Linked DNA regions of Drosophila melanogaster. Changing the gene in region 2 together with the main gene of any one other region gives a genetic interaction. Each region holds a gene or a part of one and is shown on either strand. Other genes may lie near its edges.

Evidence for each region. Genes that interact genetically often act in the same process or in processes that back each other up.
Region 1: of hppy (region 2) and raptor, changing one enhances a phenotype caused by changing the other (phenotypic enhancement), as found in Drosophila melanogaster (one study listed by BioGRID).

The regions. Positions count from the first base shown.
Region 1 is NC_004354.4:6,086,091-6,094,154, reverse strand, and holds the start of raptor (raptor), read left to right. Parts: upstream 1-3,953; 5' UTR 3,954-4,448; coding exon 4,449-5,883; intron 5,884-5,941; coding exon 5,942-8,064. Other genes in the region: Mipp2 (multiple inositol polyphosphate phosphatase 2), read left to right, coding at 2,861-3,038, 3,313-3,746.
Region 2 is NT_033778.4:19,175,635-19,183,597, forward strand, and holds the start of hppy (happyhour), read left to right. Parts: upstream 1-3,103; 5' UTR 3,104-3,238; intron 3,239-3,864; 5' UTR 3,865-4,098; coding exon 4,099-4,224; intron 4,225-7,963. Other genes in the region: CG10737 (uncharacterized protein), read left to right, coding at 554-713, 782-889, 954-1,109, 1,307-1,355.

The sequences.
Region 1 (8,064 bases), on a different chromosome or scaffold from region 2:
TTGTTGTGCTGCTTTATTGTTATTGTTGTACCGTTCTTGCTTATTTTGTTTTCACTATATTTTTTTTATTTTATTATTATTACTTATGTCTTTTACGACTTTCACTGCCTTTGATTTGATTGTTTGTTTGTTGTTTTGAATTTGCGTTTCGCCTGCGAGTGCGAATGGGCGGGCGCTAGTGTTGCGCTCTCTCTTCCTCTCACTCGCTGTTTTTAGTTAATATAATTCTTCTACTTTTATTTTTTTTTTGCCGCCAAACGCGCGAGGCGACTTTTCGATGCCAACTGAGCGTTCTCAACGCGTGTCCTTAGCTTTTAAGCAGTCGCTGTCGCGGTCGCCGTTGCTGCCGGCGTCGCAGTCGACGTAGTCGCCAGCAGCACTAACAACAAATTCAACCAAGTATTGCCAATGGAAGTGACACCCCAGAGGTGTATATTAAATTAATGCCAACTTGGTTACAGAGCCCCAAAACGAATAAAATAATATGGGGCCAGATGTCGCTCCCAGTTCTCTGGGCGAATTATGGATGGTCAAGCATTAAAGTTCAGCAACATCGCAGCGGAGACTTCCTCGGGAGATTTGGAGCAGATAGTTGAGTTGGGCCAATGCCATATGAAGTGGTCACAATCTCAAGAACACACAGGCGAGACAGGAGAATGAACGATTTCAATTCCCTTAACAGTATCCTTGAATTTTTATTGTTCTACTGAAGTTGTAGAAAATTGCATTGCTAGTTTAGTTTTTCAGTTAGTTTTTCCAAATTATTTTTAGTGGAAAATGTAGTACTTCCCGTTTCCAAGGATATCTGTAAGTTAGCCACCAATGGACGGTGCAGAATGGACAGACTATTTACCTGGCAGGTGGGTTCGATCTTCTGTTACCTTAACTCCAAGTCATTACTATGGCGGTACTACAGGTGCCGCTAATTTGGCACGTTCCACACACGAAGCGGTCTAATCGCGGTTCTGTTTTTTTTTTTCGGCTGTCTGCCCCAGCCAGTGTGACGCTGCAAGCCAATCATGAATGGCCAAAGCACCCAGCCCCTCAATCCCAGAGGAACCCAGAATCAAGAAAACCGGATAACCAAGCCAGCAAGCGATCCAGTGGCCATTGGCGTTGACATTGGCATTATCAGTGCGTGATCATCGTGTCATTGTCAATGGGCTTCGGACAGAAATATTAATTACCACCCAGTCCGATAAGTTGGGAGATTATAAAGCACTACCCCCGTCAAAAACCCCATCCACAGGCACAGCCCCCATCCAAAACAAAAGAAAAACACCCACATTTGTGTAATTACTTTGTGACACTTTTTTTTTTGGCCACTCGATGCGGCAGGTAATCGCGGAAATTGCGTTGCCCATTCGATTTCGCTGATTGATAGGATACCTGTCCACTGTCCACAAATTCTCAACCGATCATATATGGGCGGCTTGGTGGAATCTCGCCCGAAATTCGGTGGGGAGTGTGTGGATTCCCCCGCCCTTTAACGTAACCAAGCCACCCTCACCCTACGAACAAAGAAAAGCCATCATTTGATCGATTTTCGTTAGCTGATTGCCATCCTAGCTCACAAAAATAGATTGAAAGTTTCCAAACACGCGCTTTAAGCTCCAAAAAAAGAAATGGGCGCCCAACAGGTGGCGTGAATACACGGCGAGAAAAGTGGCGTGCTTTCAAGTTATCAACTAATTTAATTGGCCCAATAAATAAATAGCTAAACATGTTTACATAAAGATAATTTTTATGAGCTCAGGGCATCTGTCGTAAATGCTTAAATTACCATGCACATGCTTACTAGCATTTTATTATTTTCCCAGGCCAAGTCAATAAGTTAAGTTGATAGTAGCAGTAAGCAGTGATAAGAGGTTTTCAGTTAAAAAGTGCAAATGCACTAAAAGTCTAAAAATGAAAGGTGGCTTATAGAAAATTTAATTACTTTTCAGGCGCTTGATTTTTTCCAGTGCAGTAGCGTGTGTTCCTACCACAAATCAAAGTTAGGCACTTCCAATGTTCCGGCTCCTGCTCCCATACATAAATTCCCAAATGGACAACTACTCCCAGCTACCGGTTACCTGGAACTTTAGTTTTGGCGCAAAACTTTTGGCATGTGCGTTTCAGCTATTCCTTTTTTCACTATTGACATTTGCGGATTGTGGCTCCTTGGGCGCCATATGGCAGCCAAAAAGCAACGAGGAGAACCTCGATAAGCACAAATTTTAACCGAAACTCTTAGGAACAAAAACTGAGTGACCACACGAAACGAATTCAGGGGTGTTAATTATTTATTGCAATTTTAAGTTGTGTGTAAGTTTCTCGTTTTATTCTTGGACAGGATATTCAAAATGCTTCCCTTGCCAACGCTTATTCCTTTTGCGTGTTTGGCGTGCGACTAAACCATTTTTTAATCGCTTAGTTTGCCGGGCCGGTTAAAACAGAGCTTTTTGAGGCAGAAAGCTCGATTGGGCGAAGTGAACACTTGTTGAGTGGCAATGCGCTGATTTAGGCACCTGCAAATCTAACTAAATTTATTATAAAATAGTGTTAATAAAGCTTCCTGAAATGAGTAATCAACCAAGCACTTACAACTGATGCCATCGAAGATGCTATTTAAAAATACCGCCAACTGGCGGTGGAAACGGGTTTTTTTTGGCTGCCCCATGTGTTAGGGCTGCCAGCTGAGCTGATAGCCTTGCCACCTTGCGCGACTAGCACACTTGTCAATTTGTTTTTCTTTCGTGTTTATTATTTCCTAGATTTCTTTTGAGCTGGCATTTCGTTCTGTTTTTCACGTTTTAACCCCGTTTTTCGGTAAACCTCGTTTCTAATCTCGTGACAAGTTTTTCCACCGCCCGGAAAGATGCTAAGCCAATTTTACTGCTTGTTTTTGTTGCTCCTCCACTTCTTCGTGGGCGTGACGTTGTCTGAAGAGGGGGAGTGCCGCCGCCTTAATCGCGCAGATATCGAGGGCAGACTGTCCACAAAGACGCCCTACAGAGCGATCGCAAATTATGACGAAACGCCACCGAAATACGCCGGTTTGTATTTTTGTTGTTTTCTGTGTAACGCACCCACAGTAGGCACCCGCTTAGAAATACAAACATGTGTTGTGCCATGTGACAGTTAACAGCGCTCGCTTAATACAGTGAATTCATAATCATGAAAGCATATGGATTCTTTATTGATCATAAAACAGAGAATCGCTTTAGATTTGTTATTATACTATTACTAGTTTATTATTACCGATGCCTACTGCTAGCAAATGGCAATGGAACAGCTGATTTTTCTCTTTTAACCGTTTCACCCGACAAGGCTGCCATCCGACGCGAATTTGGACCATCATCCGACACGGAACTAGAAATCCTAGCGAATCCGTTATCCTTCAGGCGCAAAATCGACTATCAGAGATAAAGAAACGCATTCTGGATCAGACGAAGCCGCCGATCTGCACCGCTGAATTGGAAAAGCTGCGCCAATGGCACTGGATGCATCTGAATGCCACTGAAGATGAGAAATTACTGGTGGCCGAGGGTGAGGATGAGCTGATTGAGCTGGCGGAACGGATGCAGCGGCGATTTCCGGATCTACTTCCGGAGTTGTACAATCCGGAGTGGTACTACTTCAAGTATACTGCGACCCAGAGAACGCTGAAAAGTGCGGAAAGCTTCGCTACGGGTTTGTTCGGCCGTCATCGCATCCATACTGTACGATATCCGCCGCCTTTGCACGAGGATCCTGTTTTGCGGGTGAGCAGTCCTTTAGTTTTTTCTGTCAATGTAACCAAAACAAACTTTTGAATTACGCGCTACAAATGAGCTTGTAATGATCTGGCAACGCCATTCATTACAGCTAGGCCATTTCGCTGTTAGTTTATTATCGATATCAATGTTGTAAACCGCTTGCCAGCGTGCAATCGAAAAAATCATCGATTTTTGTTCCAGCTCTATTTTCTGCGCAATTCTTTTCGTATAATATAATTCGATTAAACATAAATAAATAAACCCAAGCGAAAGTAAATAAACCTGTTAATGCGCACCATCTTCCGTCGGAGATCGCTCGCTATAGTTGTACGGTTTTTATTTTGTCCCGGCATCGACCTAATCAGCCCAGGCGGCGTGTTTTCCCCGAGTTCTTTTTACCCGTTTTCGGGAAATGGTCCGCGATCCGTAGGCGGAAAACGTGGAGAAGAGGAACGTGGAAAGAAAAGCAGAAAAGCGCGGAGCGGAGCTGAGGAGGCGCTGGCGGTGGTGGAGGTGCGGAAAGTGCGAAAAGTGTTTGGGGTTATGTGCTAGAGTCCCCTCGGGGGGATTTTTAGCTGATTGAATCCGCGACCGAGACGTAATCGCTCCGGGAAATCGCTCGCATTGAGCTGCACCCTCTCCTCGGCAAACGGAAAAAGAAAAAAAGCAATACAGCGAGAAACGAGAGAAACAAAAAGCACGCAGAACATGACAAGTGCCGTTCGCGCTAAGTCCGCCGCTGCCGCAGTCGGCGTCGCAGTCGACGAAAGCAGCGGCAGCAGCAACGGCAGCGTCGCGGATCAAGAGGTGGCCTCCAGCAAGGAGGCCGTCCTGAGCGTCCTAATCCGCAAGAGATACGAGAAATATGTATTCGCCCCGTGGGACGATCCGATAATCTTGATAATGGAGCAACTGGAGCACATCGAGCACTGTCGATCCGCCGCCTTGGGGAACCAGGTGGCCATCGGCCGGGACCCATCTCAGGACGACTCTCTGAACGACCTGGGTAAGGTGATTAGCAACATGAGGCAGGACCAATCACTGGTACCAATCGTGAAGCACATCGAGCAAATATCCGACATTCAGGCCTCCAACGGCCAGGAACTGGCCTCCCTCGGTTCTTTGAGGGAGCTAATCCGGACTATCAGAAAGGAATGGCCCCGGGACGACTCTATCAAACTGCGGTTGAAGGAAATACAGATCCTGGGCATGCCGCCCGCTCGGAGCTTATGCTTCGGCGAGCGTATCCGCGACGACAGGTGCCCGCTCTCCCTGCAGACTAAAAGGCACAAGGAGCGCATCCAGGCCATGATGTACGAGAGACAGCCGTGGCGCATCCGCGAGCGCATGAAGACGGCAAGTGTGGCCCTGGTTCTGTGCCTCAACATCGGCGTGGATCCGCCGGACGTGGTCAAGATCCAACCCTGCTCACGGCTAGAGTGCTGGATAGATCCCAGCTCGGTGTCCCCGCCAAAGGCCATGGAACTCATTGGAAGCAACCTGCAGATGCAGTACGAACGCTGGCAGCCAAGGGCCCGGTACAAGAAGTGCAACGATCCCACCGTGGATGACGTTAAGAAGCTCTGCACCTCCCTACGCCGGAACGCCAAGGGGGAGCGCATACTCTTCCACTACAACGGACACGGAGTGCCCAAGCCCACAGCCAACGGGGAGATCTGGGTGTTCAACAAGACCTTCACGCAGTACATCCCCCTGAGCATATTCGAGCTTATCACTTGGATGTCAGCGCCCTCCATCTACGTGTATGACTGCTCCAACGCCGGGATCATCATCAATTCGTTTCAGCCATACGCTAAACAGCACGAGGAAGAACTAGGGAAGGCGCTGGCCGCCGCCCAGCAGAGGGGTGGTGTCCAACAGTTAGTGGGCGGCTCTGGTGGTGCCGCCAACGTAGCCGCCAACCAGGTGCAGTTAACCAACCAGATGGTCAGTTACAAGAACTGTATACACCTGGCTGCCTGTGCTGCAAACGAGATTCTTCCGATGAATGCACAGCTGCCGGCGGATCTTTTCACCAGCTGTCTGACAACACCCATTAACATAGCGCTCAAGTGGTACGCCATGCAAGAAAAGCTGGGCATGGTACCGCGTATTCAGAGCGAACTGATCGACAAGATTCCAGGTAAGGTTATACCTTTACTCACCCAGGGAATGCTGTTAACCATTAAATTCTATCGCAGGCAAGGTCAACGACCGGCGCACTATGATGGGTGAGCTTAACTGGATCTTCACCGCCATTACGGACACGATAGCATGGAACACACTTCCTCGCGAGCTCTTTCAGCGCCTGTTTCGCCAGGATCTGCTGGTGGCCAGCTTGTTCCGCAATTTCCTGTTGGCCGAGCGCATTCTGCGAAGCCACGACTGCACACCAGTTTCCCTGCCTGCCCTGCCGCCTTGTTATCGCCATCCGATGTGGAAGGCCTGGGATCTGGTGGTAGATTTGGCTCTACAGCAGCTGCCGGAGATTCTCGATCACAATGCGCCGTACCGCCAGCTGCCATTCTTCGAGCACCAGCTCACGGCCTTCCAGGTTTGGCTGGACAGCGAATCGGAGTCGAGAACGCCACCGGAACAGCTGCCCATTGTGCTGCAGGTCCTACTGTCGCAGGTGCACCGTCTGAGGGCCTTGGAGCTGCTGGCTCGCTTTCTGGATCTTGGTCCGTGGGCCGTTAATCTCGCCCTGGGCGTGGGCATCTTTCCATACGTGCTTAAACTGCTGCAGAGTTCTACGCGCGAACTGCGACCCGTTTTGGTGTTCATTTGGGCCAAGATCCTGGCCGTGGATCCCAGCTGCCAGGTGGATCTGGTCAAGGAATACAAGTACTTCCTCTCCGTGCTGCAGGACACCTCCGTTTCCAAGGAGCACCGTACACTGTCCGCCTTTGTATTGTCCTCCATAGTGCACAACTTCCTGCTGGGACAGACGAGCGCGCTTCAAGGTCCCCTACTGTCTATTTGCCTTGAGCAGTTGAACGACGGAAGTTGGCTGCTGCGCCAGTGGCTAGCCATCTGTCTGGGCATGCTGTGGCAGAACTTTGAGAAGGCGCGTTGGTCGGGAGCACGCGACCTGGCGCACGAGAAGCTGTACGTACTGCTGCGGGACTCGATACCGGAAGTGAGAGCCGCTGCCGTCTTCGCCTTAGGCACATTTATTAGCTCCGTGACGGATCGTAGCGAGGAACAGGCCAATAATATCGATCGCATCATTGCCATTACCATGCTCGAAACCGTCGGCGAGGATATGTCGCCGCTGGTCCGCATGGAGCTGGCCGCCGCCCTGCAATGGATGGTGGTGCTCTTCGAGTCACAGTTCGTGGCAGTATATCTAACTGAACACATGCGCGGTCACGTCTCCGCCGCCTCGTTCGTGATGTGCCCCGATCCCCGGGATCTGACGTCTTCCACGCACAGCCTGGAGCGTCATGTGACCATTCGCAGGGGAGCCAGCTCCAGCTCCATATCCAACATGGGTGGTGCGTCAATAAGCTCGGGAACAGGATCATCCAGCAACCCTTTGGGTCGCTCGAAGAGTGGTTCTGGCAGTTCGGGTGGAAGAGGAGCAGCCGGAGCTGCGGGTGGTACTAACAGCATACCCTTTCAGTCAATCTTTACCAAGCTCTGGCTGGGCATCTGCAATCTGGCCCAGGATCCGTTTCCTCGTGTAGCGGCCATTGCCCAGGAGATTGTTGAACATGTGAGGGACACGGCACTGTGTCCCATCATGGCCGCAAAGGAAGCCACCATGGCCAATGCCTCGGAGAAATGCAGCAGTCTAAGTGTTAGCCTCCCGCCCAGCCCAAATACAAGAGTTAATTACTTGGGCGGTGGCGGTGCACCAGGAGGAGCTGGCGCGACTGCAGAATCACCGCCCGTCGGAGCAGCTGCCTCGGGCGCCAGTCACTGGGCACAAAAGCTACGACTATCGGGCAGTGGAGCCTGCATGGGTGCTGGAGATCCTCAAACCATTCTGCAGCGCAAGCTGCGCACCAGCTCCATTAACGATGAGACGGACAGCGGACCAGGGTACTCCAGAGGAGTTGCGGGTGCCGGAACTGGTCTGGGACTGCCCAGTGGACCGAGGGAGAGCACCCATTCGGCGCGGAGCAGCGGCAGCGAGAGCAATCATTACCTGGAGCCAGGACACAGCCTCACGCCCATTGTCCTGACCGAATTCATACCCTGGGCCATTTCCTATTTCACACGGCCCGGCAAGGAGCGCTACAGCAGCGCCGAGGGATCGGCAGAGGAGGGGCGCCAGCGCTTCCCAGTGGACCGAAACTCAGCGGAGCTGCGACGCAGG
Region 2 (7,963 bases):
ATACATCACATCTTATTTCATGAATAACTTTAGTACTAAGTGTAAATTGCTTTTCTCCCTTAAAGTTTAAGTACCCCAAGATATTGTACCATTCAAAGCTTGTAAATTAACTGTTTGGTAATCTGTATCTGTACTTGTATCTACATCTGTTGTCTGTTTTATCTTCTCTCCCTTAACACAATACCCATCAACTGCTAACTGAACTGTGATCCACAACACGAATCTGTATGTATTTCATGGTTCCGATACACGCACATGAAACACCTATTTCAACAAAAACTTAACACGGTTGAATATTTTTGGAATATTTTTTGTAAATATTTGGGTTTATTTTTGGAATTTGGCTTTTGAATTTTTCTTTTTATAATCTCTGATTCGATTTTGGTTGTGATTATTTCTCATACTCCTCTCCTATTCTTTTCTTTTGTTTATTTTCATATGTGCAAAATATGATTTGATGGGTCCTAACGGGTGCTTGGTTTGTGTGCCACTCTCAACTTGCCACATAAAAAAAAAACAAAAACAAACACACACTAAAATTAATAAAACGCAGGACCACGCATGGGCATTGGTCACTCCATCACCGACCACTCACGTCGCTCCTCAATTTCAGAATCCTCGGCCATCTCAGGCTTTTCCTCGGCTAGCAATAAAACCTACGTGCACGAGGCCTCCACCCTGGTGCTGGAGACCATCGAGAATGGCATAAAGCGGTGAGTTTCGATCGAGTGTTTGCATTTTATGGATTCTGATGGAACTGCTTCATGTGCATGATCTTTAGCCACTTCATTGTGCCTTTGGCCATCGCCCAGAGACCGCGCTGGCGTCGCAAGGGCACCAAGCTGCACATCTACAACGATCACACCTTCATCGCCAAGCATTTGAGCGGGTAAGTTTAAAGTAGTAAGCATTAGTTGCTTTGAATATAATTAACGAATCCTTTCACATTCCAGAAGCGGTCTGCAGTGCTCCATCTGTATGAAGTCCATCCCGCGGAGGCCCGGAAAGCAGGGCTACGAGTGTCGCGACTGCCAGCTGATTAGTCACAAGCAGTGCCACATACGGGCACCACAAGCATGTCCCAATCCCACGGTGCTCTCCATGGAACTGTAAGTGTACCTGAATCTCCGTCAGCTTTTCATCCTTTTCTCTGCCCGATTTTGATATTTGAGGGAATTACAAACTCCTAACCAATACCCAATACTAATTTATTGATTTCGTTTTATTTTTCTCTTTCCACACACACACACAACACAACACACGAATACGCACACCCACCCAATGAAACAAAAAATAAATAAAACAGAACGTCATTTCCGGTACTCACAGAGAGAGATATAAACCTAGTTAACTAAATCCTTATTTTGTGACCAATCCAACTATCTGAATACTTATTCTTTTGTAAACAACTTGAATCCGCCAAATGCAGTTTGATATTTACCAAGAGCAATTTTTGATTTACTCACTCCACTGAATTGGCGTCAGAAATGGAAAATTCGGCTTCGTTTTCCGGCTTCCGCTAGCATCCTCCCATACCCAATCGCACTGTCACCTCGCTTGGCCACGCTGTTTCATTATGTGTAATATAACTTCTGGGCACTAATTCGAGCTCTTTTTCTCATCGCATCCCTCACACGAAATACAACCAAACCACCCACACGGACACAGGATGGCCAGTGAGGAGTAGAAAGGTCTCAGCCACAGCACAGCATCTTTAAAGCCAGTTAAATACCATTCTTAAGTGCTATCCAAGCGATGTGCGAGTTCATTCTGACGCCATATATATACATATATATAGTTAAAAAAGAACCTACACAATCCTCCTTCGATTTGACCAAACAAAAAATAGAAAAAACTCCAGGGTTCTAGATCCGTTCTGCTGCAGTTTTGTGTGGTTCGCGCATTTTCCAGTTGACCCTTTGGCAGCTGGAAAATCGGGGTAAGCTGGCAACGCATTCGCATGAAATTCCTCGTTCTGCTCCACTGTGTTGTGTACTAAATTAACACTCTCGTTCGGTTTTGATCGCACTGCGATCCATACTAATGCAATTCCTTCTGAGGATTGTTCAGTTAATTCGTTCAGATTCGGCCTAATACTGTTTGAAGCTTGTTTTCCAATTGTTAACCATTGATATTGCACTTGTCTAGATATATCTAACGTTCGTTTTTCTCTTATTTTCACAGAACTAAACTCAATTCAGCGGCGGCAGATCGCAGCATACGGAAGCTGTGAATATGGGGAATACCCTGGAATCCAAGCCAGACAGCCCCAAGCCGAGAAACCTTAATCGAAATAATACCCTAGTTACATAGAAGTGAAGGAAGGAGCTGTGCTAACCATCTTCTTCTGCTATGGAACATCTCGATACATTTTACGTTATTTATTTATACACTCACGCGAACACACACATGTGCAATAAGTTCTTTGGATTCGTTTTTAACCCATTTCTCCGTGTCAACGTGCTCGAGCCCTTTGATATTTTGTATTTTCTACAAACACGAATAATAATTGTACAAAATAAAAGTGAATTAGGGTTTTTTTTTTAAATTAAACAACAAATTCGGTGAATCAATAAAGTTGTGATCACTAATAATACCGGATATTTTTCGGAAAGCAGTTGGCAGTAGTTTGCGTGTAGATATTAAACATTTCACTTGTTTCGAGTTTAGGATCCAATTGTTGTTGTTGGGAACGGCGGTCTGCACAAAGGAGTTTTCCCAGTTTGTGGCTGATTTAGGTCTTAGTAACGTAGGAAAGATTAAGGGGAAGTTCCTATAAAACATTGCTGATTGGCAATACAGTGACAAATCATTTGTATGACATTCTAATTAATAACTAAAGAAACATTGAAGTAGATTTGAGAGCTTTAACTAATGTATTCCTTTAACGCTGCTACTAAATGTACTTTCATGTGGATTCAATGATTCATTTTATTGAATTTCGAATGTCCTTCAGCAGTTTAAAAATTTCCCCTGTCTGGCCACCCCTTCTGGCCAACTAATATCGATATCTTCGAAACGACAGCCCGACAGAGTTGCCACCGCCGAACGACCAGCGCTGCTATCGATAGGCCCGCGGGCAGAGTGCCATCGCTAGCGAGGGGTGAGAGGAACAACAACATTTGTGGGCTGCGCGTTGACGAAGTGCATGTGAAATTTTTCGTGTTCGTAGGACAATTGTTAATTATCCACTGGCCGAATTTGCCCCGCAATCACGTGTCGGTGTAATATGTGAACGGTTTGTGGTGCTCACCTAGCGCTTAGCGAAAATCGGAATAAAATTATAAAAAAAAAATAATAAACGTAGTATTTACACCAGCAACAACAACACCACGAACGGGCGACAAAGCGACACGCCTCGCGTTGTTGTTTTTGTTGTCGCGTGTTTTTTTACTCGGCAGCACAGCAACTATTTATTTATTTAGGCAATTTCGCTGGCAAAAACAAAAGTGGCCTTCATAAATTCTAATAAAAAGTAATTAAAGTGCAAATGCATTGAGAAGCAAGGAAGAGGAGACGAGAAGATAAAGAATATATGCAGTGGAAGAGAGAGAGCGCGAACGAGAGAGGGGATTACAAAAAACGAGACATCGTTCACTTGCCCTCTCGCTCCCACCCCCGCGCTTTCTCCACCTTCTTCTCCACCCTGGCCTTTATCAAATTTGTTGTTGCTGCTTTATTTGCTGATTTTTGTTTTCATCGCTTTTTTTTTTATTCTGCGTCATAATTCGCGATTCTCTAGTTTCGTGTGTGTATCAATTCAATTCTCTGATCAGAATCTGATTCATATGAAATAAATGTATATGTTTAATACATAATATACAAAAGTCCAGTTAACCTTACGTAATTGTGTGTATTTCAAAGCGTCCAAAATGCATCTCGATCCACAAAAGTATCTAAATTTCGCCTGCTACGTGTGCTAATCAGTCAAACCCAAAAAACGAATAAAGCAGCGTCAAGAGTAAGAGTGTCAATCAAATATTAAGAGTATACCCACCCAGTAAAGAGAGGTCCAGCCAAAAGGACTCGATCGCCTCGAACCGAAAGCGGAAGCGGAAGCGGAAACGGCAACGGCATACGGATACGGAAGCTGCCAAGATGGCCGCCGCCCACAGTCACCACAATGCCAATATGCTCAGCTCGGACATCTCTCGCCGAAATCCGCAGGACGAGTACGAACTCATCCAAAAGATTGGCTCGGGAACCTACGGCGACGTCTATAAGGTGAGTCGAAATAGAAGCCTTTAGCTGTAGTACAAAGTGGTATTAGGAAGGGAAAGGCAAAAACTTCTAAATAAAAACAACAGCAAACAAAAGGCAAAGAAATTGCAAAGTGTGCTCTTTGGATTTAGAATGTTTCCCCAAAAATCCGTAAGTTTTTATAGTTTCCCTCACTGCAATTTTTGCATTCCGTCTGCACAGGAAAAAATTATCCAACAGTTCTCAAATTCGATTAATTCACTTTGAATTGTATCAGGAAGTTTTCTGTTCAATAAAGAGACATCACACATTATGTAACACTATTGCCTCATTGGATTGCAAAACCTAGGAATAATGTTCTTATTGGATAATTTTTGGACACATAATCAAGAATAAATTTTAAAGTTGAATGTGTTCCATATGGTAAAACTAGTTCTAGTCCGTTATGCATTTATAGAAAATGAATTTAGTTACATATCTCAATGTGGAGTATCATTATTGCTCACCACGCCACATAAATAATAAAATTGTATGTGCGTTAAAATGTAGAACGCATTAAATCATAAAGGAGGAATGTTTTTTTGCTCCAGTGCAAGAGTGCATGTACCCCCTCGATCTCCCCACCGCCACCCACTTGCAGACCCTCATTTGTACATCTGTTTGCCACAGCATGTTTCTCATTCCTTCACTACCCCCACCCCCCCTTCACTCCACATCCCTTTCAGCACCCCCTTCCCCCAAACCCCTCGCCCCGCCACAAACAAAAATATGCGCAATTTTAGTTTTCCATCTTCTTCTCTGTTGGATCGTTCTTTTTATACCATCCAACTTCCATGTTTACTCTTGCTGCCCGTCGAAGGGAAGTATGACAAATGCCCCGAAACGCCAGAGAAGTTGCCCTTGGGCGGGGGGGCGTGGCACGTTGCAATTGTTGTTGCCAGGGGCGGGATTATATGGGAATATATCGGGGGAGATATTATGGTATTTCTCATGTGCAGACCAAGGGTTAAGTTCCTCATTTTCCATATGGAATGCCTTTGAATTCGAGGGATTTCCCCAATTCGATTTATTGCATTCTAGTTGGCAACCCAAAATCTATAAATCATCAGCTTTTCGAACGTTTTCCATTCGATTAATTTTGACGAAATTGAAATTGATTAAATTTCACATTGCTCATAAAAGATGGGAATTCAATTAGTTTGTGCACTTTTGAAATTCGATATTAAGTATATCGTAATTTATAGATTTTAATTTGTAGAAAATGAGAGAATTGTTAATTAATTTGCTTTGGCATATTGATAACTTGGTTTGACAGCGCACAATGAAATCAATATGTCTATAATGTGCACCACAATTCTGCACGACATTTGAATGGTTTTTGACTCGCTTAATTTGAATGCTTAGGTTTTAAACAATATGTGCAGTTTTTTGGTTGGCTTTTGTTAATAACGTTTTATGTTGACTAAAGTCTTGTTTTTCTGTAAACTCAGGCAATCATTATTAGTCATCAAAGCGTAAGACTGTTGAGATTATGCTTATTCTTGCTCATCAGACTGATATTGGGACTTGATTCATTTTGCCTCACTTCAATTTATTCGATAAGCAGCCACGCGCTTGCATTGATTATTCGGATTAGTTTCGAATGTGTTATTTATTTATTTATTTATGTTTGCCCACATCTGGTTTTGTGGCCCTCTACTCATTTTGCCATCTGATTGTGTCTCGTTTTTGTTTTTTAGAGCCCGTTCCGTTCTGCTTTCTGTATCTTTTCTCCATGTTCCATCCATGAGATGCGTCATGCCATGAGTCCAAAGCCCATGGTTTCGGTTTCAATCCACCATGCAATTTACACTCTTTCGTTCCCCCTGCTTTTTACTTCGGTTTTTTTTTTATTTATTTTCACACCGAGGTATTTGGTTGTCAAGGGAATTTATGATGCCACACATCTAGAAAGGAGACGATGGCATTTCGATTCTGTTTACACAAGCGACAAGTTCGCCAAATGAAAACAATCGGTTTTGGGGATAATTTGCAGTTTGGTTTTCCGCATAAGTTTTTGGCTAAACCATTATTACACATCGAGCACTTGAAGTGCAGGGCAATCGAAAAGCTCGCTTTTCCTCTCATTTTTTTCGCAACTCGTTTCGCGATATCAATTTACAATAGAAATAATAACAGCGAAATGAACAACAATGCGCCCTGTTGACAGGCTATTACGAATGGAATTGGGTTTCTACTGCTCCAATTTGTTTGCTCCACCTCCTCCCATATGCCACACCCCCTTCTAACCCCACAACACACTCATTGATTCTTATTAGTGGCACAATGATCCAAAAATTTAGTGCAACGCCGCAAATAAATGTTCAGCTGGAGAAAATGGGTGGAGCTTTAAAAATTTATGTGATTCAGTCTTGCTGGACTGTTGACATGCAAATTTAGATGTTCAATTTAACGAATGCAGATGATAAATGAAATGTACATATTTATATTTTCAGTGAGATTTAAAGACTAAAGTATAATTTTTTGACTAGTGACTCAGTTTAATATTACGTGCTTGTTTCGAGTTTATTTAACTGTGCTCTTTTTTTTTCCATATTTCACCCTTATTCAATATTCTTAAAAAATATTTATTTTAACTTCTAGTTATTTTATGCATGTTTATATATGCACTATATAAAAAGTTATTGCAATGTTTTTAATTTGTACGAGTATTCCTCTGGAGAAAAACTTGGAGTATAAATGGCACCTGACATGGCGGGTGGGAAAACTCAAGACGGGAAAAACTTTGACTCAAGAGGAAGGTGCTGCTGTTGCACCGGGTTTTCATTACCGGAAATTCGAGAGCGAAACGCAAGTGGGTAAAAGAAAATAACAGAAATATGAAAATAGTGAACTCTGTGCTTTTCACGGAGCACAAAAGGAAAAGTGCCAGGTTACCTAGCGTTATGCAATGAAAACTGGCACAAATACTAGTGCATAGGCGCATACATATTTTATGCGTGTGCTTTCGTTTGTGTGTGTGTGTGATTGCCTTTGCCAGGCACTTGACTTCGCCATCCATTGTAGTTGTTGTTGCCACACTTTAACAATCATCCTCGTCATTGTTGTTGCTGCTGGCTCTTTATTTTGTTTTTGCCCTGTTGTTGTTATTGTTGTGCACGCAACACGCATGAAAACATGAAAAAATTGGCGCAAAGCTCTCATCTAGAGTGGGTGGTGGTTGTGTTTTTTTTTTATTTTTTAGGTTGGAGGAGGGATGTAGGAAGGTTTTGAGAAAATTACTAGAGAAAAGAACGAAGTGAAGTGAATTTGTAGCAGCAAAGTGATGGCAAGGCAAGGGGGTGTGGCTAGGGACGGGAGGCGGTGGGCGCTTAAGGAGGTCACGTAGGCAACGCATGTGTGTGTGTGTGTGTGTGTGTTGGTAGTGGGCGTGGCTCAATGCGTTTTGTCTGTCTGACAGTATGTGTTTATGTTTGCTGATTTGCTGCTTGTTTGGTTTCGGTTTTCACACAAATTGCAATTGCAATTGCAGTTGGCTCTGCTGCTAAACATAAAGCTCAGTTCCATGACGCCGGCCCCCCTCCCCCCGCTCCTTTTGTTTGCCGAAAATGTTGTCATTGTTTCTACGAGGACTCTCTGAATTTCCAAAATTCTGTCCTACGCAAAAACCAAACTTCACAGCCAAATGATTTGCGCTAAAAGCCCAACAACTTTGTCGGCCCAGACAACAAAGCAAAAAGTGAGAAGGAAATAGCAAGAAAGC